Linked DNA regions of Lepisosteus oculatus. The protein of the gene in region 2 interacts with the protein of the main gene of each other region in a pairwise test. Links are inferred from orthologs where the notes say so. Each region holds a gene or a part of one and is shown on either strand. Other genes may lie near its edges.

Region 1 (7,324 bases), on a different chromosome or scaffold from region 2:
CAAAGGAACACAGGAACAACACCATCACCCTCCTGTCGCTCGAAGCTTGTGTCATGTGAGAGGACCTTGTTACGATGACTCTTGGAGACCAGGCTCTGGATAAGCTATCTGAACTTTGTTTTAGAGATCTTGCTGTCCGGTTATTTTGGGAAATTCTGATTTCCTGCATTGTGGAATCCTCGGACTAAAAACGTTCTCTCCCGGTTGGGCGATGCATTTCTAGAACAGGAAATGATTCCGATTCATTGAAATGACTGTGGAAATGATTCCCACTTCTGCATATCCATGGTCATAAAAGGGAAGATTTATTTCTGAGAAGTTCCAGGCAATGCTGGGTTCTCCTCTTTTTGGTCCGTTTAGGCATTGATTCCAGATTACAGGGCTAGAATTCCCTGTTTCCAGGTCTACAAGACGTTAGCCTTTGAAACACGTGGTCTTTTAAATACATGAGATCGATGAACTGGTGTATGTTGTGTAACGTTGCATATCGTACAGATGGTGTTTTGTTTTGTTAAGAAATATTTGTCCTGTCAAGTTTGACTCCGATTTTGTTACTCCATCACCAGACCTGTGACGGATGATAGAGAACAGCTCATGTGCCACTAGTATGCACACGCCTGGTTTTGCCACTCGAGTGTCATTCGCTGAACTGCGCTCTCTGTTGAGTGACAGAGACCAATGAATCACTGAGAGTTCACTGCCAGAATCCGTAAGAAAACTAAATTTGCCTTTTTATTCAGGCCAGTCCTACAAAGATGTTAAGAATTAGTGAATTTTAATACTTACTTTGAAGTCTGCTGCAAAAGCAGTCCACATAAGTGACCTTTGTCTCTGTCCCAAGCTAATTCTGTTTTCAGTTTAGAAAGAGCAAACATTCAGCTAATAAAACATCTCTATTAATTTTGAGTTCAGATTCTTATCTGGTGATAAAAGGTTGTATTTGCCAGCAGCTTCTCATGATTGATACTAACAAGGGGTTTCAGAAGTCTCCATGGCAACAATCATGGATTGCGAGCAGTGTGGACTTTCTGTAAGCAAACTAGTTGCTAAATTTCCTCAAAAGAAATGCTTACCTGTCAGCATCACTGAGAACTGCTCCTTGGATAAGTACCATATCACCAGGATGAAGTCCCCCCAGTATTGTCCCAGCATAGGGAATTGCCTATAATGACACAGAATGCGCAATCTTACGCTCATACCACAATACTTCATCCAATGGTTACAATTTTAAACATTCGTGTTACCAATAATTAAATCATGTCAGCACATATTTTCAAAGGGTTCTTGTCTGTTGTGGGCTCTTTCTGTGAGTGCTGTGAAACTCGGTTTTTACTTGGCACTGATGACACCTGACTTCTGTTTCAAGAATTTCACATTAAAAATTAAAATTCCACCCTGTTGAATCAACTGTTCTATACACATCTGGTCATCAAAGCTCTGCAACGTCAAATACAATTGTATCAGACTCCGAGATATGTATTTTCACTGAATTCATTTCTTTGTTGTCCTCATGTTTTTCTTTTTAAAGACAATGAAATTGAGTATATAACGTTATTTTGAAGCTCGCCTTTGCCTTGGGATCATTTGGAATTTGAAACTAGTTTCTTTTCTAGGACTCAGGTGACTGTCACCGACAGCATGGACTTGCTCCGGTCTGAACTGTTAAACGCAAAAGGCGTTGCTACATTACCAATCAGAACACCCTCTTGTGTATCCATTATCTCAGAAAGCTAATTTCATACAGCCCCGAATTTGAAAGACAATTCCCATGAATAAATTCTATTTCGACCTTAAAATCGAGCCAAATAAGATATGTCTGGTGAAATATCTTAGCTATTCTTTTATAATTCACCTTTCTGAAACTCCCATCGCGTGATTACTTTTCAAAAGAGTAATTTAATTCATATCTGATTAATTCATTAATATTTGGATAATTAATGTATAATAAGTTATGTCTGATGTGCTTTATACTGTTTGAATTGTTTTATTATTCGGTTATACAGTGTGTTATCAGTAAAGCCTTTTAAAGTAACATTTTGTAATGAAAATAAATATGCGTTAAACCCCATAATTGCTGTAGTGTCTGTAATACATTAAACTGTTACAAAACCACTGACATGAGTGGCAGGTACAACGAAAAATGGCCATTTTAATCCGAATGTTAAAAGAGGCAATAATGCAGTTTCTCTATACAGACTGAGCGCAGATGAGCTGGTCGCGGTTTCTCAAATCAATGCAGTAGAAGTTAACTCAGAAACGAAACTGCAAACCACGACTTAGCCAATGCAATTAAAGCAAACTGGAAATAAACCAGCCGACGACTTAAAGAGGCGTTACGGTAAATCTAGAGAAGCGACACTACTAAATCTACTGCATTTTCACCTCATTTAATGACCTGGCTCCCAATACGGTGTGGGGTGCACACAGAATTTACTTCTTTCCAGCAAACATTAATACATGAAGCAAGACAGATTTCACTTTCCACTTCTTTTTCTGCTGAGGAGTGAAGTGGGTAGGGGAGAACACGGTCTGACTCTTATCTCTCGGTCCATAATCGTCTCTTTCAGCTCATCTCCACAGCAATGCCGCACAACATGGTCTGCTCGAGTGACGCAGGCCGGCGCGCCCGACGCGACACGATCTCGCCAAGCATCTCTCTTAATTTTATTTTAAAATATATAACATTGTGCAGCACACCCGGCGGTCCCAAAACGAAAGAACAGAGCGACATTTGCGCGTCACCGACCACAGGGCAGCTGTGAGGCACTGGGTGCTGTGCAGTACACCCGCAGTGCGGTGCAAGAGATCTTACCGGATTTAAAACCGTTTGCCTGGGACTCGTAACAGACATGACTCCTGTCCTGAGTGAATACGTGCCCTGGTCCAGCGATTTATATCACGAAATTGCACGCAATTTTAATTCCGCCTTATTTTCACTTCCTCTTTCGCAGACCTGGAGGGCGGAGTGAATTTTATCAGCCAATCGTGGCTGAAGGTCCTCCCTGGCAGGTTGTTGATGCTGGGAAGATGTCACCATGTGATCGTGCTGTTCGAAAATGAGCTTTAGATCCATGTGGCTTTGCACTTGAATAATCAGATTGTGGGTAAAACACATCCGTCTGGAAAGGAAACGTGAGGTGTTTTTCTTTTTCTCAAAATGCTTTCAAACAATAGGAATGCTATTGGTTTGCTCAAATCCAAACATGTCTACAGAAATGTTCAAACGAATGTCGGTACTTGAAAATTAGGTGATTAATCCGGCAAACTGATTTTAAATCGATGAAATTGACTATTAAATCTTCCCTGGATCCCTAATTTCTGGTTATATTGTTCGTATTTTAAATATCAAAAGGCCAGTCCCAGCCCTGTCTTTGCTAGACTCATCTTTCCTTCATAACTGCTTCACGTCCCAGCCCATCAGGTCAGGAACCATCCCGACAGTTACTGTTCAGGAAGTAACACCCACAAAGTTGTTTTACTGTAGAGGTTCAAGCTTGGTTGAATGTGCTTCCTCATACCATACATCGTGGGCTAGAACTGTGGCCTTTTCAAGATCTCATTCCGACTTTCCGCTTAACATTCCTAAGTTTTAATCACATCTGTGAAAAAAAAAAAAAACACCCCTGAAATGCTAAACCACGAGCCCGGCCGAATTTAATTGATTATTCTTAATTGGGTGGAGAAAACCTTCGTGTGTGGGCCAACCATGAGCCTTACCCTGGGTTTGCTCATCTCCTTGGCAGTGCAACAGCATTCTTTCTCCCTCTATTCAGCTGACTTATATCCCACCCTCAGACAGCTCCCTGCTTACTCAAGGGGTTCCAGCACCCAAGTACTTTAAGTCCCCAAATCAGGGACTACAGCTAAACCCAGAATTACATTAAACAACTTTCATGATTTGTACTACCATAACCAATTACACTTCTAGTATCACAGCAGTGGAACACAATCACTGCTCTGCAACTGGATATTCCTTCATGGATTAGATTTGCAAAAACCACACTCCACGGACCCAGAGGCTAAAATATACTTGCTTTTAAACTCTCAAGTTCTTAGCGCAAAAGCTCTTGGGTTGAGGCGAAGGACAGATTAAGATTTAGTCATCATACAACTTGTAAAGTCTGAAGCAGTGCAGGATGTTACACCTGTTTTGCCACGTTTGAGAGCACAAAGTGGTAAGCATAGATCCGAGACCACAGTGGATCAGAAGGCTGCAGTAAACCGCCTAAATAAAAAAGCAGCATTGAGTGTTCTTACTGGGAACCTCCTGTAGGCAAGAGACCAGGCAAGACGGTACAAGTGGAGAAAACGGAGACTGTTTAGAAGGAGGGAGTGCTGGGAGCCTTGAGTGGCAGGACTATTACTACAGACTTGGAAGGGTGCTCTGCCATCAGCTCCACTGGAAGAAGTGGAGCCGATACTCCCATCTGCAAGACGTTTTACAAAACATCACTGCATTGTACTAACTGGTGTGTACTAGCCCTCCCAATACCCATGTCCTGTTAAACTGAAAGGTTCTTACTATAACCACAGTGTAGTAAAGTCAGGTACAGAACCTCCTCTGTATCCTTGAGGAAGGAGCATAGGCTTGACACAGATCCTTAAACCCAGAAGGAATTTCTAAACAGCCTTTATTATAAAGCCAATATAAAACTATAACCATTTACATAAAACATTAAAAACTGTACAATTGAATCCCTTTGACACGTTTCCAGGGAGGTTGTGCAAAACGGTCTGCTTTAGTGGCCTATTTCACGGCAACACACAAGCGATACGGGAACAGAGGCGTCTCTGGGCATCGGTCCCGTCTCTGTGGATGCGCTAATGCATACAGTCCCATCACCCATCGCGCTCGTCCGCATCAAAAGTCGGCATCCAGCCTGAACGTGTTGTCCGTCGGCGCAGACATGACGCCCATCCTCTGGTACTCCCCTACGCGCTTCTCGAAGAAGTTGGTCTTTCCTTCCAGGGAGATGTTTTCCATGAAGTCAAAAGGATTCTCAGACCTGTAGATCTGTGGAGACAGTTGCACTTCACTGAAGAGCAGCATAAGGCTATAAACTCGAGCTTTAAAGTTTAGTAAGCTAAACTGAGCACTGCAGTAAACACTGGCAAACAAATAGTAAATTTTTACCCAGATTTGTAAAATGGGTTAAAACAGACTTTTACATCATGACACAAATTGCCATTTACAAAATAAGTGCCAAAACCTGTTAAGGGCAGCTTTCAGACAGCTCCTCATAGTCAAGGAGTGCTGTCAGCAGCCATACCACCCTGCAACTCGCAACGGAAAATGACCAGTAAAGCACTAGACAAGTGGAAGGAATTACCTTGCTGAAACCCAGCTCCAGCATCAGCCTGTCCGCCACAAACTCAATGTACCGCTTCATCAAAGTGCAGTTCATGCCGATCAAGTCCACCGGCAAAGCTCGAGTGAGGAACTCCTATACAATAAAAAAAAAAAAACACATGGGATCAGCCAACAGAACAAAATAACATCCCAGCCCGGGTTAACGGAAGGGAACACACCTGTTCTATCTGGACGGCATTTTCAATGATTTCACGGACTCTCTCTTCGGAGGGTTTGTGTACCAAGTGCTTGAACATGAGGCAGGCAAAGTCACAATGAAGGCCCTAGGAGAGAAAAAAAAACCAAGACTGCATGATTCATTTGCTAGCATTGGATGGAGTACAATTTGTGTGCTATTGTACAGCAGGTGTCTGGAATCCTAAAAAGAAACTTGCAGGTTGAATTAGGCAGAGCACCACTGTTGAGAAAGGCATCTAACCGACAGCTCACAGGTCGGAATAACTATGCATAATCCAGAAGCAAAGGAGCAAAGCCGAAGGAACAGAGAGACCTATATAAGCATGCTAATGTCACTATAGACTAGGAATACGCATATAGATTATGGTTGTGGATTTGGGGGGGAATAAACAGGCTCTCGGAAGAAAAAACTCACCTCATCTCTGCTAATTAACTCGTTTGAGAAGGTGAGGCCTGGCATCAGGCCTCTCTTCTTCAGCCAGAATATGGAAGCAAATGACCCAGAGAAAAAGATACCTTCTACTGCAGCAAAGGCCACAACACGCTCCCCTGTACAGGGAAAAAAAAAAAAACAATGAGATTGGACAGGTGTGAAAAGTGACAGTTTAAGGCAGATCATTGTGCTAGAACAGGCACGTCTCCCAATAAACCTTGCATACCATATACAGCATCTTTGTTTCCAATCCAGTTCAGAGCCCAATCAGCCTTCTTTTTCACACAGGGCAGAGTCTCAATGGCGTTGAAAAGGAACTCCCTGCAAAAAGAACAAAACCTTCAATACAAGACCAGTTGGCAAAAGCACATTTTGACCTACATCTTCTAGGTCAACATGGGGAGCAACTGAAAGCAAGAAGTGCTTGGAGTGTCACTGATAACAGTGCACAACTTTGGTCATTAAGTGGAGTATAAAACAAGCTACCCTGGGATCAATTAACTACTAACTGGGGCTTGTGTGGCCTGTTTAATGGGTCAGCATCAGCAGGAACTGCAGCCCAATAACTCTGGCTTGGGTGTACAACTGCAGGTTGTACCAGAGGAGAGGCAAGAGCTGTACTGACCTCTCTTTGGGGTCTTTAATATACGTGTCGATGAGCAGGCTGTACATTTCAGAGTGGATGTTCTCCATGGCGATTTGGAAGCCATAGAAACAACGGGCTTCAGTCACTTGAACCTCCTGGCTAAAGCATTCCACCTGGAGGGGGGAGAAAGAGTTGAATGAAACAGGAGGATCTGGTCTGGGGTCTGCACGCACTTACAGACATTTCCTGCCGATATGAAAAATGCCAACTGTGAAACAAAACATCTAGAGCAGGGTGCGGTTGTGGATCCTACCAGATTCTCGTTAACGATGCCGTCGCTAGCGGCGAAGAAAGCCAGGACGTGGGAGATGAAGTACCGCTCTTCGTCCTTCAGGGACTCCCAGTGCTTGAGGTCTTTGGAGAGGTCCACCTGGCAAAAGTACAGGCGATTAGACACCTCTCGACGGCCTTCGAACGACACAGCTGCAGAAGACTGATCACATTCCTACACCACTTGCCAGGAAAGGGGTCCGTATACTCGTGGTGAACTAAGCAGTTCCACATGGGACTAAGTTGGTGGATACCATCAGAGACGGAGAACTGCACCACTGCTGCCTGCAACTGTAGGTCACACCCTCTTTGCGGAATGCAAGTTTCCCCCCCACTCAAGCACAAGTTTAAGAATTGTTTATTAAGCTCAAAGCTAAGCAAAATTGTTTAAACAGGTGGTCTCAGATAAACGGATTAGGATTTCTTT
Region 2 (8,015 bases):
GCTTCATTACTTGAAGTTCGAGTTCCAGTCCAGCTTAAGTTATACTAGTTTCCCATCTAGTAAAAAGTTCTGTTCCAACTCCAGGATGAGTCTTAAAACCTGTCGGCTGCTGTGTCGAACCCACGAGGAAGGGCTCCTGTGTTCGGCTCTCATCCTTCAGATCCTGTTAACGCACACAGGAGGGGTGTGGACACACAGCACAGTCCAGCAAATGGGAAGCAGTGGAAATTACTTCACCATCTTTGCTACTAGTTACTAGTATTCTTTCACCTGTTACCATTGTACTCAAGGCTCTGAATATTCACAACCTCCATTTAATTCTTACCAAAAAAAATAAGGATATTTTATATTTTTTCAGATACCTCAGATACTAATGGTATGAGAAACAGATGGCAAGTACAATACAGCCGTGCAGATCTCTGCTAATTAGCTGTACAGTTCAGTGACATAAAGGAACTGTTCCATGTCAAAAGGAAAGACTGGATATGCAGGAAGAGCCTTTTTATTCTCAGACTTTCTTTCTTTAGATGAGAGTTAAAAGACCTCCTTACATAGTAAGCTAAATCAGTTTCATGATCACACCTAATTCAGTCAGAATCAATTTGATGGAATCAAGTCCTGTCACCGCTGTTAAATGTCCATGTGAATGGTCTTTCATGAGAGATTTCATGAGCAAAGAACTTTTTTTTAATCTTGCTTTTTAAAAGGGCTGACTAGATTTTCAAAGGAAGACATCTGTGTGACCTCGATCCTGAAGGTTATGTGTGTTCTGATCTAGTGCAATTTGATGACAGTTTATCTTTGTCATCAAAGCAGAGTCCTGCGTGCAGTTATGTTGTCTAGTTACAAAGCAGCTCAGAACAGAAATCTGACTCTCTCCTGATGTTCTTCATTGGTTAGTACTTATCTCTAGAGGCCAGTCGCATGAGTTTCATTTTTGTAAACTAGGTGTACTTTACCCATGTAGAACTACAGAACTCATTTCCCAAAGAATCTACTTTGTCATCTCCAAGCAATTAACAGTTTAGCATTCCATGAAAAACATCCCCATCTAACACAAAGCTTTCATGATCTATTTTGTAAAAAGAGCTCACAGATATTAGATATCAGAGCAGAATCCTTCACTGTCTAATTGTACCCTAAAATTAATAACAGAATTGATATACAAACTCATAAAAGGTAAGCCTTGCATTGTACCAAATGAGAATCATGTCATTTAAGAAATTTACTCATTCTGCAACCTGCAGTCACATTCATCCAGCAAGGTCTCACTTCCTCAATTAGGATAAAGCACAGAGCTGTCCTCAATGTTTAATCACGTGACAACTCATCACACTATCATATCACACAACTGCAGAACCTATCGTACACCAGTATCATTCCATGGACTGTACTTCGCAAAACAGAGTGATTATAAAATGAATTCAAAGAACCCATAAAGAGAAGTGGTGGTTTTGAAGACTCCCCTATCTGCTACACTGCAACTCAGATTTCCAACACAGACCATGACACAACAGTTTGTGGTGTGCTTGGAGATGAGATCGTTCAGAGTCGACAGGCTCCTAGCTGGGACTGGCAACAACTCGGTTGTCATTGGCCACGTTGGCACAAGTAGGGCCCGATTAAACAGCACAATTTCCATCCAGGATCAATTTAAAACAACTCAGCCAGAAACCGTAAAGGACTAGATCAGCTGTTTTCCCAGGAATCCTACCAGCACCGGGCAAAGGTGAACAATCACAAATATGAATCCGTCTGACAAGTCATTAAGTGCCGAGACGTCAGTGCTGGGAACATCAGAAACCAATTACAAAAAATAAAAATGCCTACATAAAACATCTTTGCCTACGTAAAGACTTTTAGTAACTACTAAAATAACCGTTTGGTTTTTTTATGTGCATGAAAGGCTTTAACGCTTAAGGTGCGATTCAAAACGAAAGATCAGTTGAAAAGCATCATCGTTCACAACGTCCACTATTAAACCACGTTCATTTTACAGTACAATGGCACGCAGACAGAAACGAGAGATTGGGGGGGTGAGGTGGGTTTCAAAGGTTTTGTGTAACCTTCGCCGACAGAGCTGCCGAAATTCCCCAGTCGTGCAGATCATGACAGTTCATCACCAACAGAATTTCCCAGACGCTCATGAGCAACACCAGCCTGACTCGCTCAGACTCGACGGACCCGCCCCCCGGACCCCCCTATTGGTCCGGGGCCACTGTTGACATTCCCGTTAGGTAAACACCACTGAAGGCTCTGGCCTGCGATTGGCCAGTGCAGCCGCCAACACAGCGTCGTCACGACCCGCAGACGCTCACGAGTTAATAATAATTATTATTATTAACTCGTTATTCGAGTTGTTGGGGTTTCGTACTTTTCGTTACTACCGAACATCAACAACAGCAGGGTCCCACAGCGACCGAGGCTGTTAAAGCAACGCACCCTGAAGAGATATTAAACATCTCACTAATCTAGGAGTCCAGTCTCCTCCTGAAAAAAGCTTGTTAACTGACACGCCAGCATGCTCGGATCGCTTATCGATGGATGTAAACAAAACAAAATTAAACTCAAAGGTCAAAACAAATATCGAAACCAAACGGTCCAAGGACAGACAACAACCGACTTTAGTTTCTTTTTCAATACAAGTGGTGGGCAGAAATAAAAAGTTTATTTCATGTTCCTAAGGGCCTTACGGCCGAATCCATAGTCCATAGTCCGATAGTTGAAACATTAATACTGACTTTCAACATTAAAATCCCTTCGCAACCCAAGCAGAACTACAATCAAAGTTTGAGCTCCAAAACGTTTGTCTTCAATTTCTTCCCCTTCTGCTTGTTATTTAAACACGGCTAAGCCTGTGGTTCGTCACTGCTGGACTGGGAATGATAACGTAACCCAAATCCCACACAATTTTTACATTGCCACGTAAAAGGACTAACACTAATAATCGTTACAGAACACAACTACATTAACGAATAACCACACAACAACCGTTCGCCATGTGAAATCGAAGTAAAACCCCAGTTACCTTGGTAAACCGTCACTGACGCAGCTCTACGGTCGCCGCTGCCCTTCTTCCTGGAAGAGGGGCGATGCGTCACTTCCGGGATCGGTGCCCTTGCCCACTGCGCAGGCGTAAAGTTATTGACTGTGCATCTGTGCCTTTATTTCAAAAGCACATAAGAGAGGTGACAAATGAGAGGAGGTCATTCACCCTCCAACCCCCTTATTTGCAAAAACTTGTTTGATCCAAAGACTTCGCCTGGCACCGTCTTCAGCAACACGGGTGGGTAGCACGTTCCACACTCCCACCACTCTAAAAACTTTAAATTTAAAGAAATTTAAAGCTAAGGATTTATTCTGTCCTGCTGTGAGAAACAGATCCTGGGTTTCTCTCATCATCCTGAATCCCAGATAATGAATCCTTCAATTTACCTCTATATTTCCTCAAATCTTCCAAAATATCCACGTAAAAACATAGGTTTTGACAATCCTACCCAGACTACGGAGAAAGAATATCTCTGCAGTACAGCAAATGTCTAATCACAATCTTAAAAAAAACTCAATAGAAACTGTATTTTAAAATCCTATAAAAACAATTTCATGCCATCATCACATCACTCAATAACTGTGGTGGCATGGAGACTTACAGAAACATTTTAATAAAGCTGTTTTACAAAAACTGTTTTCATTGCACATAGACAAAACCATTCATTTGCTCTTTATTAGTTAACAACAAAAGACACTGTCCACATGTCCTGTGCTAAATCTGGACTCATACTTAAGTATAAAGCACTACTGGTCTAATGTCACCTTGACCTTCAGAGGATGATGAATAAGGAATAAAGGCAGCGTCAGGCATCATACCCACACTTCATTATGATGGCCATGAGTGACAGGTGAGTGAAGAAGAGTACCTGGTCTAACCAATTTAGCTTTGGAGCAATGTGCAATAAACTGAATTAGACCAGTTCTGCAACATACTGGAAATTGTATCTGGGATGGTATGGACTGAGATGAGATGTACTGAGATCTCATTTATCTGAGATGATATTATAATAATAATACACTTATATAGTGCTTCTTCTGGACACTCCACTCAAAGCACTTTACAGGTAATGGGGACTCCCCTTCCCACGACAGCAACAGCAGCCATAGTGCACCAGAACACTCACCCACATCAGCTTTCAGTGGGGAGGAGAGCAGAGTAATGAAGCCAGTTCATAGATGGGGATTATTAGGGCCAATGGGTAAGGGGTAAGGGCCAATGGGAAATTTGGCCAGGACGCCAGGGTTACACCCCTACTCTTTTTGAGAAACGCCCTGGGATTTTTAATGACCACAGAGAGTCAGGACCTCAATTTTACATCTCATCAGAAGGACGGCACCTGTTTACAGTATAGTGTCCCCATCACTATATTGGGGCATTAGGACCCACATGGACCACAGGGTGAGCACTCCCAGCTGGCCCCACTAACACCTCTTCCAACAGCAACCTTAGTTTTTCCCAGGAGGTCTCCCATCCAGGTACTGACCAGGTTCACACCTGCTTAGTTTCAGTGGGTTGCTAGTTGTGAGCTGCAGGGTGATATGGCTGCTGGCTATTGTACTTGTATCCTGCAAGTCCCTGATAATAATATCCTGTTGCTGGGTTTCTTCAATGCCATGCAACCCCAATAATACAAGAACTCCGTATTCTGCCTGCAAAAAAAAAAACAGATATAAAAAAAATTGGTGTAAATCGCTGTACCAGCCAGAGACAGGACACAACAACTTTACAGTCCAAGTAAGACCTCTCTGAAAGGTAACCTCGTAAATTAATTTAATATTGGTGGAATTTTGGTATTATTTATTAAACCGCTTCTCTTTGAATCCATCTAATTGTCTTTTCTAAATTGGCTTCGAACCTGAATGTGTAAACTCTACAGACATGCAACTCCCGCAAAGACGCACGGCTCCAAAGATAAGCTATAGGATATCCCGCCCCTCCCGGGTTCTGGTTGGCTATAGTGGGCAACCCTGCCTCTGATTGGGCTGAAGGCGGTGTCACTCTCATCCACCCCCGTGGTCACTTCCTGACTCGAGCGTTGACACCGCGACGCTGAGGTCAAGGGGAAGGAAACATGGCCGCTTTGGTTAGAGGGTCTCGGAACTTGTTGCGAAGCTTTGGTCAGCATGTGGGCCTGGCACTGGGTAACGTATTGTTTACGTTTGCATATATTCAATTTTCGTCCTTCTCCGAGGCTATTGTGGGTCGGGGGAGGGGTGGGATCTGTAGCTTATGCATTGCAGCACCTTTAAGCTTAATGATATAGATAGTAACATCTGTTTCTGTCCGGTATCGCTTGGCAATCGCTGATGCGGATGTCAGTAGTAGTATCGATAAGCGGGATCGATGCTGGCATGCTATTCAGAGCCAAATACTCTCGCAAGGGAAGCATACAGCAAAAATACTTTTGCCTTGGTCCTTTAGTCCTTAACTAAAGGTCCTTGGTCCTTTAGTGAAGATGCTTTCGCAGGCTTGAGGTAAATTTAAATTAAAACATTTTAAGTGTATTTTGTTATAGTTTTGGAAAGCACCTGTTAAAAGCAGGTATGGGTTTATCTCTGAATGTTACAGGATGTTTTTTTCCCCCACTACCAGTTTGCTCTGTCTTGGAAGATATGGGATTTTCTGTACATTTTAGAATCCTGTTTTTACAAAACTCCCTGTCACTAGGAAAATGTTTTACTCTAAAGACAAGCTTACAACTTCACAAGCCAAAGTTAACACCTAAAGAAAAAGTTGGAATCAAAGTGTTTGATTCATTGTTTAAAATATCCTGTTTTAGTGTTATATTTGCTGTAATTGCACATGTAACTAAGATAAATATTATTCTCAGCTCTGTAATTTGTATCACTAGGATGATTCTGTTTTTAAAGAGTTAATTACTGTGCAAACAAACATGTTAGTGCTGTATATAAATCACTTCCTACAGTACATTTTAAGATTAGAGATCTTATTTGAAAAAGTATTTGCATCAAGAATAGTTTTAGATTGAGATCAATTTAGACTGCTTTATGATGTGGAAGGAATAAAGCATGTATACATGCACAGTATGTTAGGGAAAAGCATGAATACTTTGCCATGGTGCTCAGCAAAAGGACATTCCTTTACATACCAAGCCTATGATGATGTCATGGCTATGTGCCATCTGCATTTCTGCTGGGGTTTCTAGAAAAAAGGCAGCAAGTGATGTTGGGACCTGTTATAAGTACAAGGAGTGTCAGCAGCTGGCTTGCGTATCAGATGTTCAAGGTTAGGTCAATATGCACAACAGGCTGCAAATACAAGACAGCCCTTCTTGCCAGTTCAGAGAGTCTAGAATTTGTTCACTTGCTTCTTGAAGGAGAGCAGGGTTTCTGAATCACCTGAGCAGAAAGTCTGTTCTGTCCTCCCCTCCCCCGTCCGTGTGAAGAAACATTTCCTTTTCTAATTCCATCAACACCATTCATGTTTAAAAAGGAGTGAGTCCCAATAATATGCTTTTATGAAGAATACATTCAAGTCTTTATGCAAGCTCCTGTGTGCTTCAAATGGTTTAAAAATAGCATGAGGGCCAGGGGTATTTCTCCCTGAGTAAGCAGTTGATGGTGACATTAGAAATGCTCTTTTGACTTGGAGACAGCCCTCACAAGTTAAGAATGGCCGAGTATGAGCCTTAGACTGAGACAGAAAGGTGAAAGATGTTTATTTCAGACAGGTCCTAAAGAGTCTTGGGGGGTATCAGCTCTACATTCTCTGCAGGCCTATAGTTTAAGTGTAATTTGAAGTCAAAATGCATGTCATTTTATGTCTTTATTTCAGTGCTTTTTAATAATGCTATAAGGTACTGTGGAATTAATTATGTTGGTATCAAATAAGTTGTTCGTTGTGCACTAGTCTTCCACTCAGAACTGTAAAGAAGAGCCAGTGGGATTTTGTGCGATTATATTATTCATCGACATAATATTAAAATGCAACTCCAGACAGATTTTAGTTATACAAGTTTTGAGTTAGACAAATTGAAGCTTTTCAAGTCTTTGTACATAAGCTGGTTTGTAGACCATTATTTTCTGTTAAGTACAGTGTAACGTCCCAGCTGACGCAGAGTGCTGGAACTCTCCCAGGCAGGGTAACTGGACTGCCTCTCCACATGACTACACTATATTTATAATGACATTTGGCTCAGACTTCTCTGTAATTTCATACTCTTACAGTATGTCAATCCTGAATACTATGAGCAGAACACTATATTGCATTAAGCAGTGGATTATATTATATATATAGTTATGAGGTAAGAACATGAGAGAAGTCACAAACTGGGGGAAAGGCTGTTCAGCTGAACATCATCCAGCGTTTCTGGAAAGAAACCAAGATATCAACTCCAGACTCCACCAGCTCCTAGTTTCATTTTGAGAGGATCCTTCCCTGAAGGGCCAAGCCAGTGTCAGAGCTCTGATCTACCTTCCATCCCTCAGAAGAATCACCTTCTGCTTTTGTCTGTCTGTTTTAGTGTCATCGAGGGCCCTGGCCTCTAAAACCCCAGTTGGTTTCATTGGGCTGGGGAATATGGGGGATCCCATGGCAAAAAACCTTCTGAAACACGGCTATCCGGTCATCGCTTCGGACATTTTCCCAGAGTCCTGCAAAGAAATACAGGACATGGGGGCACAGGTGAGACAAGCGGTTTTGTTGAATGCATCACAAAATTGCGTGATGATAATTAAAAATCTGAAGCCTGTAAACTATGCCTCACTGTATAGAACAAATATTTTCAATTATCTTTTAGACATATCCATAGACTGACCCATTCAGGTCTCTCTCTCTCTCGTTCTCTTGACTGATATTAATATTTTTGTTACGCAATTCATGTTTTCTCTTTTTAAATGTAAATAATATGTATATTTTTCTATACGTGAGACAAAAAGCGCTTAAAGGTGAGAAGCACTTAGTGATTGTATTTATTTTTTTAAAAGAAACAAGTTGTATTTAT
Region 3 (7,690 bases), on a different chromosome or scaffold from region 2:
AAAAACACATATAAAAGATAATAAACAATAACAGTTTTAAAATGCTTAATAGCTGTTACACAGCAACATAAACCTGTATTTATTTTAAGCAGCTTGTATTTTTATATTTTACTGTTTTGAGTTTTTTTACAGAAATCATGAAGTCTTCTGACACATTTATGTTATTTAATTTTTTGGTTTCTACCCATAGAACTGCCCAGTATTAAAAGTAATATATCTTCCACACTTCCACTTACCATTTCTTTCCTGATATGAGCCAATGATGTTAGTCAGATCATAGGCACTTGCAAAGGGGCTGTTTCCATTGATAACAGAAACCTGCAAAAGAATAGGAAGCTGTATTTTTATAGTGTCATGCAAGGAAAATAAATACTATCACAGGAGGAGCAGGTGAGCATTACACACAGCAAAACAACTTACTGCTCCACCCCAGACCAGGAAAGGCTTTTTTCCAGTCCTTTCCTCCAGAGAGCACTGGATGTAGGCCATGCTTCTTTAGAGACAAAGTAACCCACTTGATTTAGAGCGTCCCAATTCTTTTTTCTTTTTAATGTGAAGTGTCATGGCTCTATTTCATGGCACCAATTACAAAAAAGTGATTCAAGACTGAAAACAGCGGGCATGTCTTTATGCAGAGTGCGGGAGGTGTCTGAAACAAGCTGCTCAGACCGTGCTGTGGAAGTCAGCTCCCTCGGATCCTTCAAAAAGCAACCAGATGGGAGTCTCAGGTCAATACATTTCTAGCAACTAGATGTTCATGACAAGCAGAACAGTCTCTGCTCGTGTGTAACATTGCTTTTATGTATAAAGAAATATGATTTTTTTGTTAAAGAGGAATCATAGAAAAAATGACAGAAGAAAAAAAGAGGTCTTCATTGGAGATCACAGCGCAGCCCCATACTGTCAAAATACTGTCAAAAGCAGTATGGGGAAAAATCTGTCAAACAAAATAGTTCTTCTATTGAACCAACCCTGATTTCATGCTGGACCAACTCTGTGTCCATGCTGATGTACCTGCCATCATCAGTGTAACCAGGACCCAAGGCGTTTGCCTGTGGGAATGCACCCTGTCAAACATATAATGTTTTAGAATGGTTTTACTTTTATAGAATAACATAGAACAAGTATTAGCCATCTGGAATGCAGACATTTCCCAGATTACGTAAAAAACAGCACACATGAGCTAATTCTTACATTATAGGTGGTGTCAAGACCTCTGTGCTTCAGTGGCTGCCTTTGCTGCAGTTTGAGGTCCCCACTGACAAAAAGTTGAGACCCTGGAACAGACGAGGAGTGCTGGATGTAGGCCATGCTCTGCATGATGAAGGTGGACATCCTCTAAAACACAAGCAGGCAATCTTTTACTCTAGTGGTTCATTTCAAGCAGGCTGCTAAACTGACATACACAGTGGCTGTACAGTGGGCTCAACAATTATTGGCACCCTTGAAAAAAAGACTAACATAGATAGCCATATAAAATAAACAGCACAGATAATGACCTGTATTTTATAAAACCCCCAAAACGGGAAAACTACAAGCTTTTTTTTCTAATACATTTATTTCAAAACAAATGTTTTTAAATGAGTAATACTATTTTTTTCCTCAAAAACATAGGTGTTAAAATGATTCGATCCCCAGTTGCTAGTTCTTGATGCAACGTACTCTGGCACGGGTAACAGCACAAAGCCTTTTCCTATAATGTTTAATAAGGCTGGAGACCGTTCTTCTTATGCAGGAAGTCTCCAGGTGCTGATGTCCTTGGATCGATTCTTACAGGCTTCCCTCTTCTGCCCCCAGTTTAGAAAAGACAAGACGAGACCTAAATAGCTGTTGAAAGAGTGAAAGCACCAGGTGTGGGTGACTTACGAAGAGCTTGTAGGAGAAGGTGAGAATGAGCTGAACGCTGTACACCGGCTCGCTCTGCCGCAGTGGGAGCGCCAGACGAAGGTTCAGCTGGTCAAACTTCCCATCCTGATTCCGGTCTTCCTCTCTGGCCTGACGACACCGGGGACAAGTTACCTCCCTGCCGAGCTAGGCTGCACCCCGGTCCACCCCTTGCGAGATTTGACAAAAACTCCCCCAACCAAAAATACCTGGTAAATTTCAGCAAAGAAAAGCTTGATTTTTTTTTTAGATTATAATGTACAAACACTGTAATTGCAACTTCGCTGTTTCCTGGGACAGGACTGTCCTCCTTCTGTCCGCTTTGAAGAGGCCAAATCCATAACCTCATTCAACACATGTTGAGCGAATGGCTTATTGATCAGTAATTTCCCTCAGTAGTGGAACTCCATCCATTCACAACTGTTCAACGAGATCACTCTAACACTCTTACTTTTCTAAGAATGTAAATATCTGACACTCTCGATCACACGCAGGCATTAGGAAATAACCTGAATAACTATGTTTTTAACTTTCACCAAGGCTATGAAGGATCAGAGGGGAGGATACTCACTGATATTGAAGGGATTCTGAGGTTGCCACCCTGCAGATTGTTGAAATTTTGAAATGTGCTCCAGGCTACATAGTCTCCACTGGTGCTGGTTGCAGCAATTAACAGCACCTGGTACTGGAACGTGATGCTGGGTTGCTCCTCATACGTGCTGGACTTTGTCCAGAAACCTGTAAATAAAATGAGAAATAAAGTCTCTTTCCGATCAGAAGATCTCCTAGAGATAAGGACGTTCTATAAATGCCACCAAAGTGGAACCGGGTACCAGATCATACACTAAAGTTGAAGAGACAAAATCGTTTTTTTCTTACAGTCATGATAAACTCTCAAGGACGAAAGATAGTTATAAAAAGAACTGCGTGCAAACCTCGCTTTGCATATCAGTCTACTTGTTGTACCGTGGCATTGAGTTCTTGGCATCTGTGTAACTAAGGTATTGAACAATACAATAGTCGCACGGTAAAACGGTATTCGCTACATAATAATGTTAGTTTCTAAAAAAGCACAAGATCATGTCACAAGATCAAGTGCCTTGGGACAACCTTGTTGTGAAAGGCGCTATATTAAAATGAATTGAATTGAACGTCCGTGTAGTACTGACAGGGCCACAATAGACATAGTCGAACCTACATCGCGGCTGTCTTTGAAAACAACACTACTGGAAGAGGCAGGCTGGACAGACAGTAACCATTCATCAAAACAACAGTCAAAACCTCAGCATAACGCTGTGCTTACCTTGGCTTCTGTAAGCCACCAGCAAAGGAGAGATGTAGGTGAGACACAGGACGATTATTAGGAAAAGCGTGGCTTTGGTGCAGATACTGGTCTTGTACCTCAGTAAAGCAGGGTGGGAGTAAACTTCATAAATGGCCATGGAAGATCGAAACGTGTTCGTAAAAAAGCAAAATAAAAAAGGGGTCGCCTTTGAAACTAGCTAAACTTTATTCCACAGACTTTCCGTTCGTTCGCCTTTAAATCACAGCGATGAGATGAGCGGGGTTGTTGCACTCGGAACATAAATAGTTTCTCGATTCAAGAAGGCTCCTTGATTTTTCTTAAATATCGAAATTCGCAAAAGCTCAAAAACTAGTAAGCAACCCCGCCCCCAAAGTATTAGCGTTCTGACTATTTCTAAAAAACGCAACAATACAGATCCCTTCCAAAATCGTGAAGCTGAAACCGAAGGCCGCACTCTTTTCACGCACTTCCTGAAGTTTGGCGTCTGCGGGTTTCCATAGCCCCCCTGTTCCCTAGCAACCGGCGGCGTTTTTTTCCCCCCACTACCCGGATGCAGCAAGAGAGGCTAGAAATATTCTACTGTATTTATCCTCACGGGCAAACCCAGCTGGAGTAATTTAAATACCAGACCTCCGTAGCCCATCCAAAATATTATCTTAATATTACGTTAACGCCACAGTTGTTCCGACTTTCTTCGCTTTATTTTGAAAGAACAACAGAATTTGACACCCGAATTCCTGTTGGTGTAAATGAATCAGGGGATTGGCATGTTAACGGTTACAGAAACGCTTGCAATTCCCCAGAGCGGTGCTCCCCTAAATACAAGAAATACGGGACCTTTGAGTATCACGCGATATTAGTCACAGCCCTATCGAGTTTTATGCCGTGCTCCTACCAGCCTGTAATCTATTTTTAGGGATATTTGTAGAGGCGATCTCGGGGGCTGTGGTTGTGTACATTAGCTCAGCTTTCAGGGAACCCAGAAGCCGACCTATGGGAGCTATCTTTTCTGAGCTAATTCTTGCCAGTCTATTCATATTTTGTGCCTTTAACGACATTTCCCTTACCGATATTAAAACAATCATTAGGAAAGCCCCCCAACTATCTACATCCCATCCCATATGAACCCCCCCAGTCCCACCAGAAGCATCAACGTTTATATACAGAAGCGATACTACACGGTAGTAGCATCTTTATGGATTGTACTATTTCGTCACTACAGGCAATATATGCAATCTCTGATGAATAAAACAATTTGGTTGTGTTCCACAGATTATATCAATTTGGGTAAAATATTATTCTGGTGAGTTTATCAATAATGATAAACTAAGTGTATCCCCATCATTTAAAACCGTTACCCCTCCGGGTTGCCAAATGGATCCATCCGGCGGTGACGTCATCGCAGGGCTGGACTCCGAAGGCTAACCTTGTTTTGTTACATTGTTGCTGTAATAGTTTACCCCCTTTTGTTTGTAAAGAAACCGAAAAAAAAACCCATAAACGAAACCGTTGTTCTCTTTTTCTTTTTCTAAGCAAAATAAGCGCCATTTGGAAGTTGCCAAAATGAAATGGATGTTTAAAGAAGACCATTCCCTAGGTAAGAGGTTTTGTAGTAGACGGGGGAAATGCTGTGTTATGGTGATGTTTGCTTTCGCTTTCTCAGGCCACTGTGAGGATGGCTTTGCCGTGTCAGGGCCTGGAAAAAGGGTGACCTGCGCAGAATGTTTTTTTTTCCCCTTTTACGGGTTTTAATTGTTTTTCGGATTACGTCATACGTGTCTGACAGCACATTTTCTTCATATCAGAACACATTCGGGTATTTGGGGATTTTCTCTGGGGTGGGGAGGAGCTGACCGTAATATCTGGGTGTTGTTTTCTTCTGCAAAGACTGTATTTTGACGACCACGGGACAGCACTCGTTTGTGTCGCTTTGCTAAGGACGTGACAACCGGCACATTTCGCCCATTCCAGCCTTTCAGACGAGAAACAACCAGAAGCTCGAAACTGTGGTTGATGTTGAGATATTTTCTGTCCCGTCAGTCTTCCTTAAATTCAAATCTAAAACCCGAAAGCAGCCAGGACGTTTCACATCTCATCAATACGGTACAAGACCCAGGTATTAATTTCTCGGTCTAACCAGACGCATACCATGAACTCTGCAGGGTAGTACTTTCTAGAGTAACAAACAGAAGTGTTTTAGAAATGACACTTCAGTTATTAACAGTATTGACTGTGGTCAGATAGATATGACTGCAGGCGTTGTTTTTTTTACAAAGCCCTGTCATTAACTAGGGCAAAGACTGCGGTCCCTTTCAACACACGAACCTGGGCCGAAATCTCTAAACGACCTTAGGGCTAAACTGGTTTTTGAGGCCTTCAGTGACGTCAAATTGTAATATTTATAACTAAGAATAATAGTTGTGTATATATATATATTTGTCGAACCTTTTCAAAGGGCTGTATCGCCCTCACAGTGTAGTCCACAGTGATGTCTGCATAAGAGGTTTGAAACGAGAGAGGCCATTTGCCTGATCTAGCTGGTTTGGAAACCAGTAGCAAATTGATCACGTGATCTCACCCAGCCCCTTCTTTAAAGAAGCCGAACATCGGGTACCTTGTCCCAGACCCCCGACAGCACATTGCGTTACTGGTTAATCATGGAATTGTTAAACGCAGCAAGAAAGGCAAACGGCTCTGTGCTGTGATCCATGAAGAGTGGCAGTTTTAGTAGGTTTGGCTATTATTTCAGCACCGACACTGTGAAGGTTTGAGCAAAATGATAGATTCCCCGTGTTAAGAAGGTTTAAAACGAGTTTAATAATTGCAAAGGCATTAATACCTTTGCAAAATTCTATTAAAAGTAAGAGTGTTTTCTTGTGGGGATAAACATTGCTAAGTGACACGATCTGATATGTGTAAAAGGGAAAACATTAACATTGACAGTAGTCTATATTTTTTTGTGTGCGGGTCAGGAGAGAGGCTAGTCTTTGTGTGTTTATCCACTGTGGTTCATTCGAGACATTCTCATTGCAGCAGAACAAAAAGTTCTTGTTTCAGATCAGCAAAAGCATAATCTGCTTGGATTAGTTTTCTTTCGGGCAGCTCAGAGATTAATCTGATGTCCACATTTTAGATCACTCTTTGTTCTAGAATATTTAATGCAGTCAATTCCTTCCTGTATGATCTATTAATGTCTTCTAAGTTCACAAAATGAAGAAGCTATTTTTTTTTATCAGATCCCTATGACTTGAAGTACTAGTTGCAACTAGTGGGTTACATTTTCAATTCAATTGCAATTAATAGTTGCCATTGTATTTATACTGACCTACAAGAAACACTTGAGTTCTGGTTGATTTATAGGTGGTCATAAGTGGTCCGCTGGCCTGGTTGTATAGTGACAATTGAAGCACTTCAAATGAAATCTGTATCTAATTGCAGAACATATCTTAAATGGTGTGAAGAATCCACTGCATGAATATGATTTGGGAAAATATCCCCTTTATATAGAGTTCATAAATAGGTCAATTTGAATTATTCCCAGCCCTGAATTCATGAAGGGCATTTAACAGAAGATGCCTAACTTTCACCAAAATAAATTTACATCGTGATAAAATGAAATATCAGTCATGTATTGTATCTTTCCGACACAGCACCTCATTCATGTGACTGTGATGATTATCTCTAGAAGAGCAGTAATTTAGTGCAAGTAAAAATATTCACAGTTGTGCAATGTGTCTTCATTTTTAGCTTGCTAAGTATTTTTATTTGCACATTCAACCATTTCTGTCTGGGCATATGTATCACACCAGAGAGTTATGTGGACTTGTATTTTGTTGGCATTACAGGGCTGCACGTTCAGTTAATTACAATTGGCAATTTGCACTCACAGTACTAGTGTACAAGTGTAAAAGGGTTATTAGGGTAAAAATCAATGCAGTGCTGCTTAGATCAATGAACAGCTCAATGCTGTCTGAGGTGGGTATTCATCACACAAACACGCAGGTATGCAAGTGGGTTTTAACTGCTTGCAATGCACAGGCTTTTATCAGTTTAATCAGATATCCATTTGCTACTGTACGGTAGGAACAAGTTAGAAATTAGCAACCGTTTTATCTACATTCCAGTTTGATTAAAAGTTCTGAGAGGATGTCTTCAGGTTTCCCTTAAACCCCTCATGTCATATTAGTCCACGTTTTTGTTTTTTTACAAATTAATCATTCTGCTGCATTTTGGCTCCATTAGAGGGAGTCTCTGAAAGGAAGCTTAAACATTATTATTGCTAAATTGGCTGCCAGCTTTATCCAAGGTGACTTAAACCTAACAATACAATTGCATTGATCACAGTGGAACAGCAGATACAAACTGCATAAGGGGAAGAAATCGGTTTTAAGTAGGGGGTCTAAGAGAAAGAGGATACTATGGAAATCTAATGTAACTTTAGTGAAATAGAACCAGGATTACAGTTACAGTGTTAGAACTATTTGAGATAATGGGTTGCAC
Region 4 (8,007 bases), on a different chromosome or scaffold from region 2:
AATCACATGTGAGACGAGACAGTCGTAGCTCGGCTGGCGAACTAAAATGTCGACTCCGCACGGCGTGTTCAGAACACAGGAAAAGGTACAAATCAGAGGAGCCCAGTTTCCTAATTGATCTAAGGATCTCTTCCAGGTGTTTTGAAAACCACCGGGGCCTCGGCTTTAACGACACGGCTGGGGAGTTTGTTCCCAACTCCCACAACCCTGTGTGTAAAGACGTCCTTCCTGGCCTCGCTTTCAAGTGCTCTTCTGCGTGTTTGCGGTTGATCGGTCATTTTTTTTACAGTACTCGGAGCAGAACAAGACAGCAATTCCGAACTCTGTCCGGGGGATGCAAGACACCGGTCGACCCCAGCTGTTAATCAAACGCTGGACCTTGTTCTTGTTTTGTTTTTCTTTTGCTGAGGTAACGAATCGATGTTAATAATTACGCTTTGCTGATTTGTTCGGGAATAAAAATCACCAAAAACCCCGTGCAAAAAAATAAAGTCACATGGTTGGAAACGCGGTCTTAACCTTGACTAAAACACTCGTTCACCACAAACTGTAGCAGTGTGTCAGCGTGCGAACTGCTCGTGGGGCTGCAGACTGGGCTTCGCTCAGGGTATAAACTTCTCCCCAGCAGCGCTGTATCCTTCTGCCCCGGGCTCGTCCGTTAATACAAATCACAGATACTGTCCATCTGGCCCCTGCGAGTTACCCTGACTGTGCGGCGAATTCCATTTCCGCACGCCTCCGGACGAGCAAGCCACTGTCTCGGGCCTGAAGTGTCGAAAAGCAGGTCAGTGGGGGTATCCCCCTGAAAAACGGTCATGCACCGCTGGTCACTCCCGTGCCCCCGTATTCTGCCAGCCAGACACCCCGGAAAATCGGATCTGTTCCCGCATCAGAAAATATCCCCGCTGTGAAAGAACCGGTACACCTGACAAAGACGCGGTGTACGCCTCTACATGGGACAGTGTTGTGTGGCTTATAGACTTATAGACAGAACTGGGAATAACAGCTGTAGTTAAACAACAACAACAACAACAACAACAACAACTGTGACGCGGTCCGGTCCGGGTCCCGTCCCGAACGGACCCGTACAGCAGCAGGGCTTCTCGGCGGTGCCGTTGACGGGTCGCGACAGAGGCCTGTTCCGGTGAGGCCGGTGGAAAGAGAAACAACACGTCTAGACCTCGACTCGTTTTACACCGGTCCTGATTCACAGGGAGAGCAAAAACTCCACCACCGAGACCAGCAGATTCCTCGTCGCCTACAGAGACCGGCGGGTCACACCGCTGCTAATGTAGTACCGTTAAACACCGGTGAGTCTCGGCCTTCTGCGCACCCAGGACCAGCTCCCTGAGGTCCTCCTCATTTCAGGACCGCTGAGGTAACAAAAAACGAATCAGTGGTAACGATTTGACATTCATCGAAGGTAATATTTTGTCATTAATTAAAGGTCAGATTTGAATAACATACCACTGATATCCTTCATGGCCCCTCCGACTCTAAGGTCACCGTGCGCTCGGAACCAGGAATGGAGAGACGTGCCATTTCTACACGAAATGACGAAACATGACAGGATTTTCTCCAAACACCCCCCCCCCCCCGGCAAGGCCGAGCGCACTGCCCGGGTCACAAGCTGCGACGTTGGAGACTACAGGCCGCTGCTGTTCACTGAAGAGGGCACTAACCGAGCGAGGGGGGCGCAGGGAGGCTGTTGGCACCCGGTGTAGTCCAGCCGCGTCCCTCCGAAAGGCGCGGGTAACACCGGGTTCGAGGTCCGTGTCGAGAAAAATGTCCCTGAGAGCGACACCCGAGCACAACCCGCGGAGACCCACATTCCGGGTCCCGAACGGACCGGCGCTGACCCCCCTGTCTCCGGGCAGCGGGAACCCCGCCGGGGAATTGATGACTCATTCTAGACAGTTAAGTAAGAACTAGTTTTTTTTTTCTCCTGAGAAAATTAACCGATTTAAGTGGGAATCGGCGACTCCCCGCTGAAAAGCACAAACCGAGAATCCCAATTTGTCCCCCAGGAACGCGACTGACTCAACCCCACGAGTTTTGACCCAACAGAACAAGCGTTTGTGGAAATCATTTTCTATTTACTCGTGTGCCAGGGTAGTATCGGGTCCCCGGGCTGTTCCTCCGGTGGTTAAGGCTCTATGGAAGATTTTAATAAGAAACCATATTCCTCTACACACAGGGAAGCTGGCATTTTAACGTGTTGCAGCATTTTCAGTTACAGCCGACGCTTAGGGCGAACATGTACAGTAAGTACGCCCGGAGGAAATAATGTTTTTTATTTTATTTTTAGATTTTCTTGAAGTGTCAGTTCCAGGCATACTACGTTCACTTTAAAAACTCAAAACGTTAAGCTAAACGACATTTTAAGAAAACAAACAACATATATAGAGATTGTATAAGAATGTATGTCTTCAATACTATAGATTTAAGGTCTATTTGTTTATGACTCTTTTGCTGATGATCCTATGACAAAACGCCCAAAGATTGTGTATCTCAAAAGGGGCTATATAAAATACAATTATTTAGTATCAAGTTATGATGCACAATTTACCACAGTCAAGGCTGACAAATATGACAGCTAAAATCTCTGTAATGTGTTTAATCTGTCGCGCGTTAAATCCGTAAAACATCACGATCTTACCTTAGCGTAATTAGAGCCAGTCTTAGACCGTGGAAGCGTCTAACAGCGGAGGAGAAAACAGGACGAATTGTGTTTCTTGAAAAACGAAGATTAAGGAATCTGAGCGGTCAGTGCCACGTCCGGTGTCCGCGCGGTTAGGCGCCAGATGAAAACCGTCCGAACAGGTTAACTGTTGTGTCCACTCCAGGCGGCAACCAGAACTTTTTACAGAGCCCGTCCCTCTCTCACACACACACTTCCACACACACTATCGCTCACACACACACACACTCTCTCGCACACACACACACAGACACATTCTCCGACTCCTCTCCCTCTCTCGCTCGGCGCTCAGATTTCAGATTCAAATTTAAACTGCGGCTGATTTCTCACGATCCGCTTTAAAGCACTGCTGATTTCTGCACGACACACAGCAAGGACTGTAGTCCATCATTTCGGAAAAGACAGCTTTCTGTTTTGAATCTTCGAATTCTATTTATTCATCTTGGTGGCTACAGGGTTACAGTAAAAAAACTAACAGTGGAATAACCCAGTTCGTAGGAATTATATACAAGACTGTATCTTCACTGCGGACTCAATTTGGAACTTTATGTGGGTCACAATTCTTGAACTGACGTAAAGGTGTTGTATTTACCGCTTGTACTAAATGTTCAGTAACCTACACATCGCGTAATGTAACAATATTTATTATAAATAAATATTAGTATTATAAATAAATACTATACATTTACAATTTACAGTAATATGTTGAACAGTCCTGTTACAATAGGGGCTACAGTCCCAGTACAGTAGAACAGTCCAGTTACAATAGGAGCTACAGTCCCAGTACAGTAGAACAGTCCTGTTACAATAGGGGCTACAGTCCCAGTACAGTAGAACAGTCCAGTTACAATAGGAGCTACAGTCCCAGTACAGTAGAACAGTCCAGTTACAATAGGGGCTACAGTCCCAGTACAGTAGAACAGTCTGTTACAATAGGAGCTACAGTCCCAGTACAGTAGAACAGTCCAGTTACAATAGGAGCTACAGTCCCAGTACAGTAGAACAGTCCTGTTACAATAGGAGCTACAGTCCCAGTACAGTAGAACAGTCCTGTTACAATAGGGGCTACAGTCCCAGTACAGTGGAACAGTCCTGTTACAGTAGGATCTACAGTCCCAGTACAGTAGAACAGTCTGTTACAATAGGGGCTACAGTCCCAGTACAGTAGAACAGTCTGTTACAATAGGGGCTACAGTCCCAGTGCAGTAGAACAGTCCTGTTACAATAGGAGCTACAGTCCCAGTACAGTAGAACAGTCCTGTTACACTAGGGGCTACAGTCCCAGTACAGTAGAACAGTCCTGTTACAATAGGGGCTACAGTCCCAGTACAGTAGAACAGTCCAGTTACAATAGGGGCTACAGTCCCAGTACAGTAGAACAGTCCTGTTACAATAGGGGCTACAGTCCCAGTACAGTAGAACAGTTCTGTTACAATAGGGGCTACAGTCCCAGTACAGTAGAACAGTCCTGTTACAGTAGGGGCTACAGTCCCAGTGCAGTAGAACAGTCCTGTTACAATAGGAGCTACAGTCCCAGTACAGTAGAACAGTCCTGTTACAGTAGGGGCTACAGTCCCAGTACAGGAGAACAGTCCTGTCACGGTAACAGAACAGTAGAATGGTCATACCATACACAAGAATAGTACAAACTGTTAAATACTTTCAGATGGAACTCCAATATGAAAAGGCGTCTTTGTATAAGCACACAAACAAGCAAGAAAATAAATCTAGAGCTGAGAAGCAGATTTTTAGATTTGCGTTGCATACTGGGATCCTAATAAAAAGGAAGAATGCTTATGATAATTATTCACCTTCCTGTCCTTCTGCTCATTAATGTGCTTTAGTCTACTCTGCACGCAATTAGCGTTTATGTTATGTGGTCATGGCCGCCTGCCGGCTGTCCCAGGCCAGTGTCCAGTCCGACAGCTCGGCCGAGCGGAGGCGACCAGGTGGCGCAGCCTAGCGCTCCCGCAGGCTCTGGTATCATACACCCTCCGGCCACTAGAGGGCGGTGTTTACCGCTGCCCATTCTTCATATAGAAACATAGAAACATGTTCATTCGTCATAATAGAAATCATAAACCACAGTCTGTAAAAAAAAACACATTTTTTTCTCCCCTTAGGAGTATATTCTGTTGATATAAGAGACACCAACGGTTCTCCAAACGAGCAGTCTGGCAATACGTCTGTGTGGGGAGACGGGTGGTTTGAACCGGAAGCGGAAGTCAGGAGGCTGTCGGGACAGCCCGTTTTGTGTTTATTTTGAGTGAAAGGGGGGGATTTTTGCGACGATTATTATTTTTTTATTGGTTATTCTTTACCTGCTAATAGCCTTACTTCATCATTCTTACTCTTTATCCGAAGAAGGAAGAGGCGGCCGTGCGTGTTTCCTGCGATGGTGAGGTGGTTGAGCTTCATAGTTTGAAACGATTCGTTTCTCTGTAGTTACAGCTGTGAAAAACACGTTTCTTTTTCCGCTCTTAAAGCTAATCTTTTTTTTTTACGTAAAACGACCAGGTCGCCTTTCTTCGTTAAATGTTAAATTGGAAAGTTTCAACCCGTCTTGAAAGTAGATCACAGCATGACCGCAACCGGGGAGTCCTTTCCTCTTGAAAATCTGTATTATACGTTAGTGCCCGTGAACGCATCGCTCATAGATTTGCATTTGGTCTCTGTTTTGTTTCACATTTAGAAAAAAGGTCGTGCTTTCGGATCAGATATTGTGTTCGGTTACTGTTGGCTGCTGTGATAGGCCAGTTGGAACGGTAGCATAGCAGTTGGAAGCGATATTTAGCTGAGCGACCGAACTGTTCACATTTAAATAACTGACAGACATTAGAAACAAAGTAATGTTAGCGCTTGTTTCGTGTGCAGTCAGACAGGTGGTGTGATGCTGTAGCCCTGTAATTGTTCACCCGTCACAGAACCGCGAGCAAAGAGCGCTGGTAGGCTTTCTGCTTTAGGGGGCTCTGGTTTGCTCATGGCTGACCGTTTGCAAGAGCACTGGCAGCCCTCTCCCTCGGTCTCACGGCGGTGAGCGGCCAGGGGAGTCCAGCGCGGTCACCTGTCCTCCTCTCTCCCTGCAGGACAGCGAGGTGTCGGATCTGGACCAGGCCCCCGGGGCCGAGAGCAGCATGGAGGGCGACAATGGGGAGAACGGAGAGAACGCGCCGGTTTACTGCATCTGCCGCAAGCCCGACATCAACTGTTTCATGATGTGAGAGCCCGCCGCCGCCCGCAGCTTCCTGCCTGCGCCCCAGCTCGTGGCCTCTGGGCGTCACCGCCCGACACTCTTGTCACCCACACAGCCTCGACGCACCCCTCCGCCCCTCACGCTGCACAGCCTTGACACAGCCCTCTGCCCCTCACGCTGCACAGACTGGACACACCCCTCTGCCCCTCACGCTGCACAGACTGGACACACCCCTCCGCCCCTCACGCTGCACAGCCCTGACACAGCCCTCCGCCCCTCACGCTGCACAGCCTCGACGCACCCCTCCGCCACTCACGCTGCACAGCCTCGACGCACCCCTCCGCCACTCACGCTGCACAGCCTCGACGCACCCCTCCGCCCCTCACGCTGCACAGCCTCGACGCACCCCTCTGCCACTCACGCTGCACAGCCTAGACAAAGCCTCCCTTTTTATTTTTCAATATCTTAGGAAGTCTAGAAGAAACATAAACTTGCGAGTCAATTTGTGTTGTTGTTGTTGTTGTTGTTAGTTGTGCTTGCTGAGATTGAGAATTCAAAATGGGCTTTGTTGGCGAGGTGTGTTACAAGGGTATTGTCAAAAGTTTTGAACAGCTATGGAACAGTTTATAACAGAATATTGGCCATGTGCACAGTGTTAGAGTGCAGGTCTGTACAGAGGTTTCCTGTACGACACAGCTTGGTACTGTGCACTGTGTCAGGCAGGGGTCTCCAAGCCTGGTCCTGGAGAGCCCCAGTCAAGTAGTCTTTTAGGTCTTTAGACTTTGGTAACATTAATGTAATAATTAATCAGTTAACAATACTGTGGTCCGTGGAGACTGAGAGAAACGTGATTTGGTCCTATATTATCTCAAAATGTCCTGCTCTATTCATTACTGTGAAATTTTGACTAATCTTGAGAAATGGGTGACTTAGCGGTGACCTATAGAGTCTGCTGGCCTGGGTGACCAGGGTTCGTCACCTCTGGTGTAAGGGTTTGAGCTCACATTTTTGTTTCTGACTGTTGCACTGGTGTTTTCTTCTCTTTTCTTTCTCCTGTGCATCTGGATTGCGTGTCTGCGTGTCCGTCTGTGTGTGTGTGATGGCTCTGTGTGTGCACGTGTGTCCGTCTGTGTGCGTGTGATGGCCCTGTGCATGCACGTGTATCCATCTGTGTGTGCCATGCGTGTGTGTGCACGCGTGTCCATCTGTGTACTTGTGATGGCCCTGTGTGTGCACACGTGTCCGTCTGTGTGCGTGTGATGGCTCTGTGCTTGCACACGTGTCCATCTGTGTGCGTGTGATGGCCCTGTGTGTGCATGCGTGTCCATCTGTGTGTGCCATGCGTGATCTCCTCATCTGCAGCGGCTGCGACCGCTGTAACGAGTGGTTCCATGGCAACTGCATCAACGTGACGGAGAAGATGGCCAAGGCGATCCGGGAGTGGTACTGCGGGAAGTGCCGGGGTGAGGACCTGCCTCTCCTCTCTCTGGGGGACTCTCCCTCGGGGAGCAGCCTCGAGGCTCAGGCGTGTCGGAGACCCTTGTGTGTAGTTCAGGTTCCCTGTGTTGTGAAGTCATGGGAAGGGACACGGCTGTTTTATCCAGGCTACAGAAAGTAATTTAGAAATCCGGGGCTCCAGGCTGGATGATTTTTTTAAAACGTTTTGGTTGTGTGTTACTGATTGTTCAGAAGACACTGTGGGGAAACAGACCTGTCTCGTATTGCACAGCAGGTTGGTCCATTCCGGGTTTTGCTGTGAGCTGCAGGCCGATCTCAGTGTGCGAACCGCACAGCCGGTGCCGAAAGGTAGACGTACGTTAACGTCATGGCGTACGAGCTCGTTCTTTCTGAGGTCACGGGCTGGAAGTGCAGCTGTTGCTGTAGGTCCTGGTGAAACCTGGACTGGATCACGCTGCTGTCACTGGTCAGCTCTCTTCTGCCTGACTGCCTGAAAGGAGGGGTGTCGGTCAGTCAGTGTGACCCTGTCTCCCCTCCTCAGAGAAGGACTCCTCCCTGGAGATCAAGTACCGGCTCAAGAAGAGCCGGGAGAAGGAGGCAGAGCTGGACCGGTTGGAGAAGCAGCGCGGCACTCCGGACTTCAAGACTGACCGGC

What was found.
Region 1: the proteins of tax1bp1b (region 2) and lgals8a interact in binary tests that used the Homo sapiens proteins (3 or more experiments, as listed by UniProt). The link is inferred for Lepisosteus oculatus from reciprocal best matches to the Homo sapiens genes TAX1BP1 and LGALS8.
Region 3: the proteins of tax1bp1b (region 2) and gabarapl2 interact in binary tests that used the Homo sapiens proteins (3 or more experiments, as listed by UniProt). The link is inferred for Lepisosteus oculatus from reciprocal best matches to the Homo sapiens genes TAX1BP1 and GABARAPL2.
Region 4: the proteins of tax1bp1b (region 2) and CXXC-type zinc finger protein 1 interact in binary tests that used the Homo sapiens proteins (3 or more experiments, as listed by UniProt). The two-hybrid records come from large-scale screens. The link is inferred for Lepisosteus oculatus from reciprocal best matches to the Homo sapiens genes TAX1BP1 and CXXC1.

What each region holds. Positions count from the first base shown.
Region 1 is NC_090697.1:11,728,323-11,735,646, forward strand, and holds the start of lgals8a (galectin-8), read right to left. Parts: upstream 3,037-7,324; 5' UTR 2,852-3,036; coding exon 2,813-2,851; intron 1,163-2,812; coding exon 1,074-1,162; intron 1-1,073. Other genes in the region: rrm2 (ribonucleoside-diphosphate reductase subunit M2), read right to left, coding at 4,862-5,014, 5,331-5,444, 5,530-5,634, 5,964-6,097, 6,208-6,302, 6,607-6,740, 6,881-6,997.
Region 2 is NC_090705.1:398,439-406,453, forward strand, and holds the start of tax1bp1b (tax1-binding protein 1 homolog B), read right to left. Parts: upstream 3,118-8,015; 5' UTR 3,029-3,117; intron 1-3,028. Other genes in the region: hibadhb (3-hydroxyisobutyrate dehydrogenase b), read left to right, coding at 5,124-5,193, 7,536-7,696.
Region 3 is NC_090715.1:12,460,779-12,468,468, reverse strand, and holds the start of gabarapl2 (gamma-aminobutyric acid receptor-associated protein-like 2), read left to right. Parts: upstream 1-4,582; 5' UTR 4,583-4,753; coding exon 4,754-4,787; intron 4,788-7,690. Other genes in the region: carbohydrate sulfotransferase 5, read right to left, coding at 237-318, 1,195-1,338, 1,867-1,995, 2,456-2,622, 3,188-3,326. UniProt on the Homo sapiens protein: Ubiquitin-like modifier involved in intra-Golgi traffic. Modulates intra-Golgi transport through coupling between NSF activity and SNAREs activation. It first stimulates the ATPase activity of NSF which in turn stimulates the association with GOSR1.
Region 4 is NC_090697.1:75,676,973-75,684,979, forward strand, and holds the start of CXXC-type zinc finger protein 1, read left to right. Parts: upstream 1-4,887; 5' UTR 4,888-5,096; coding exon 5,097-5,099; intron 5,100-5,787; coding exon 5,788-5,918; intron 5,919-7,256; coding exon 7,257-7,357; intron 7,358-7,893; coding exon 7,894-8,007. UniProt on the Homo sapiens protein: Transcriptional activator that exhibits a unique DNA binding specificity for CpG unmethylated motifs with a preference for CpGG.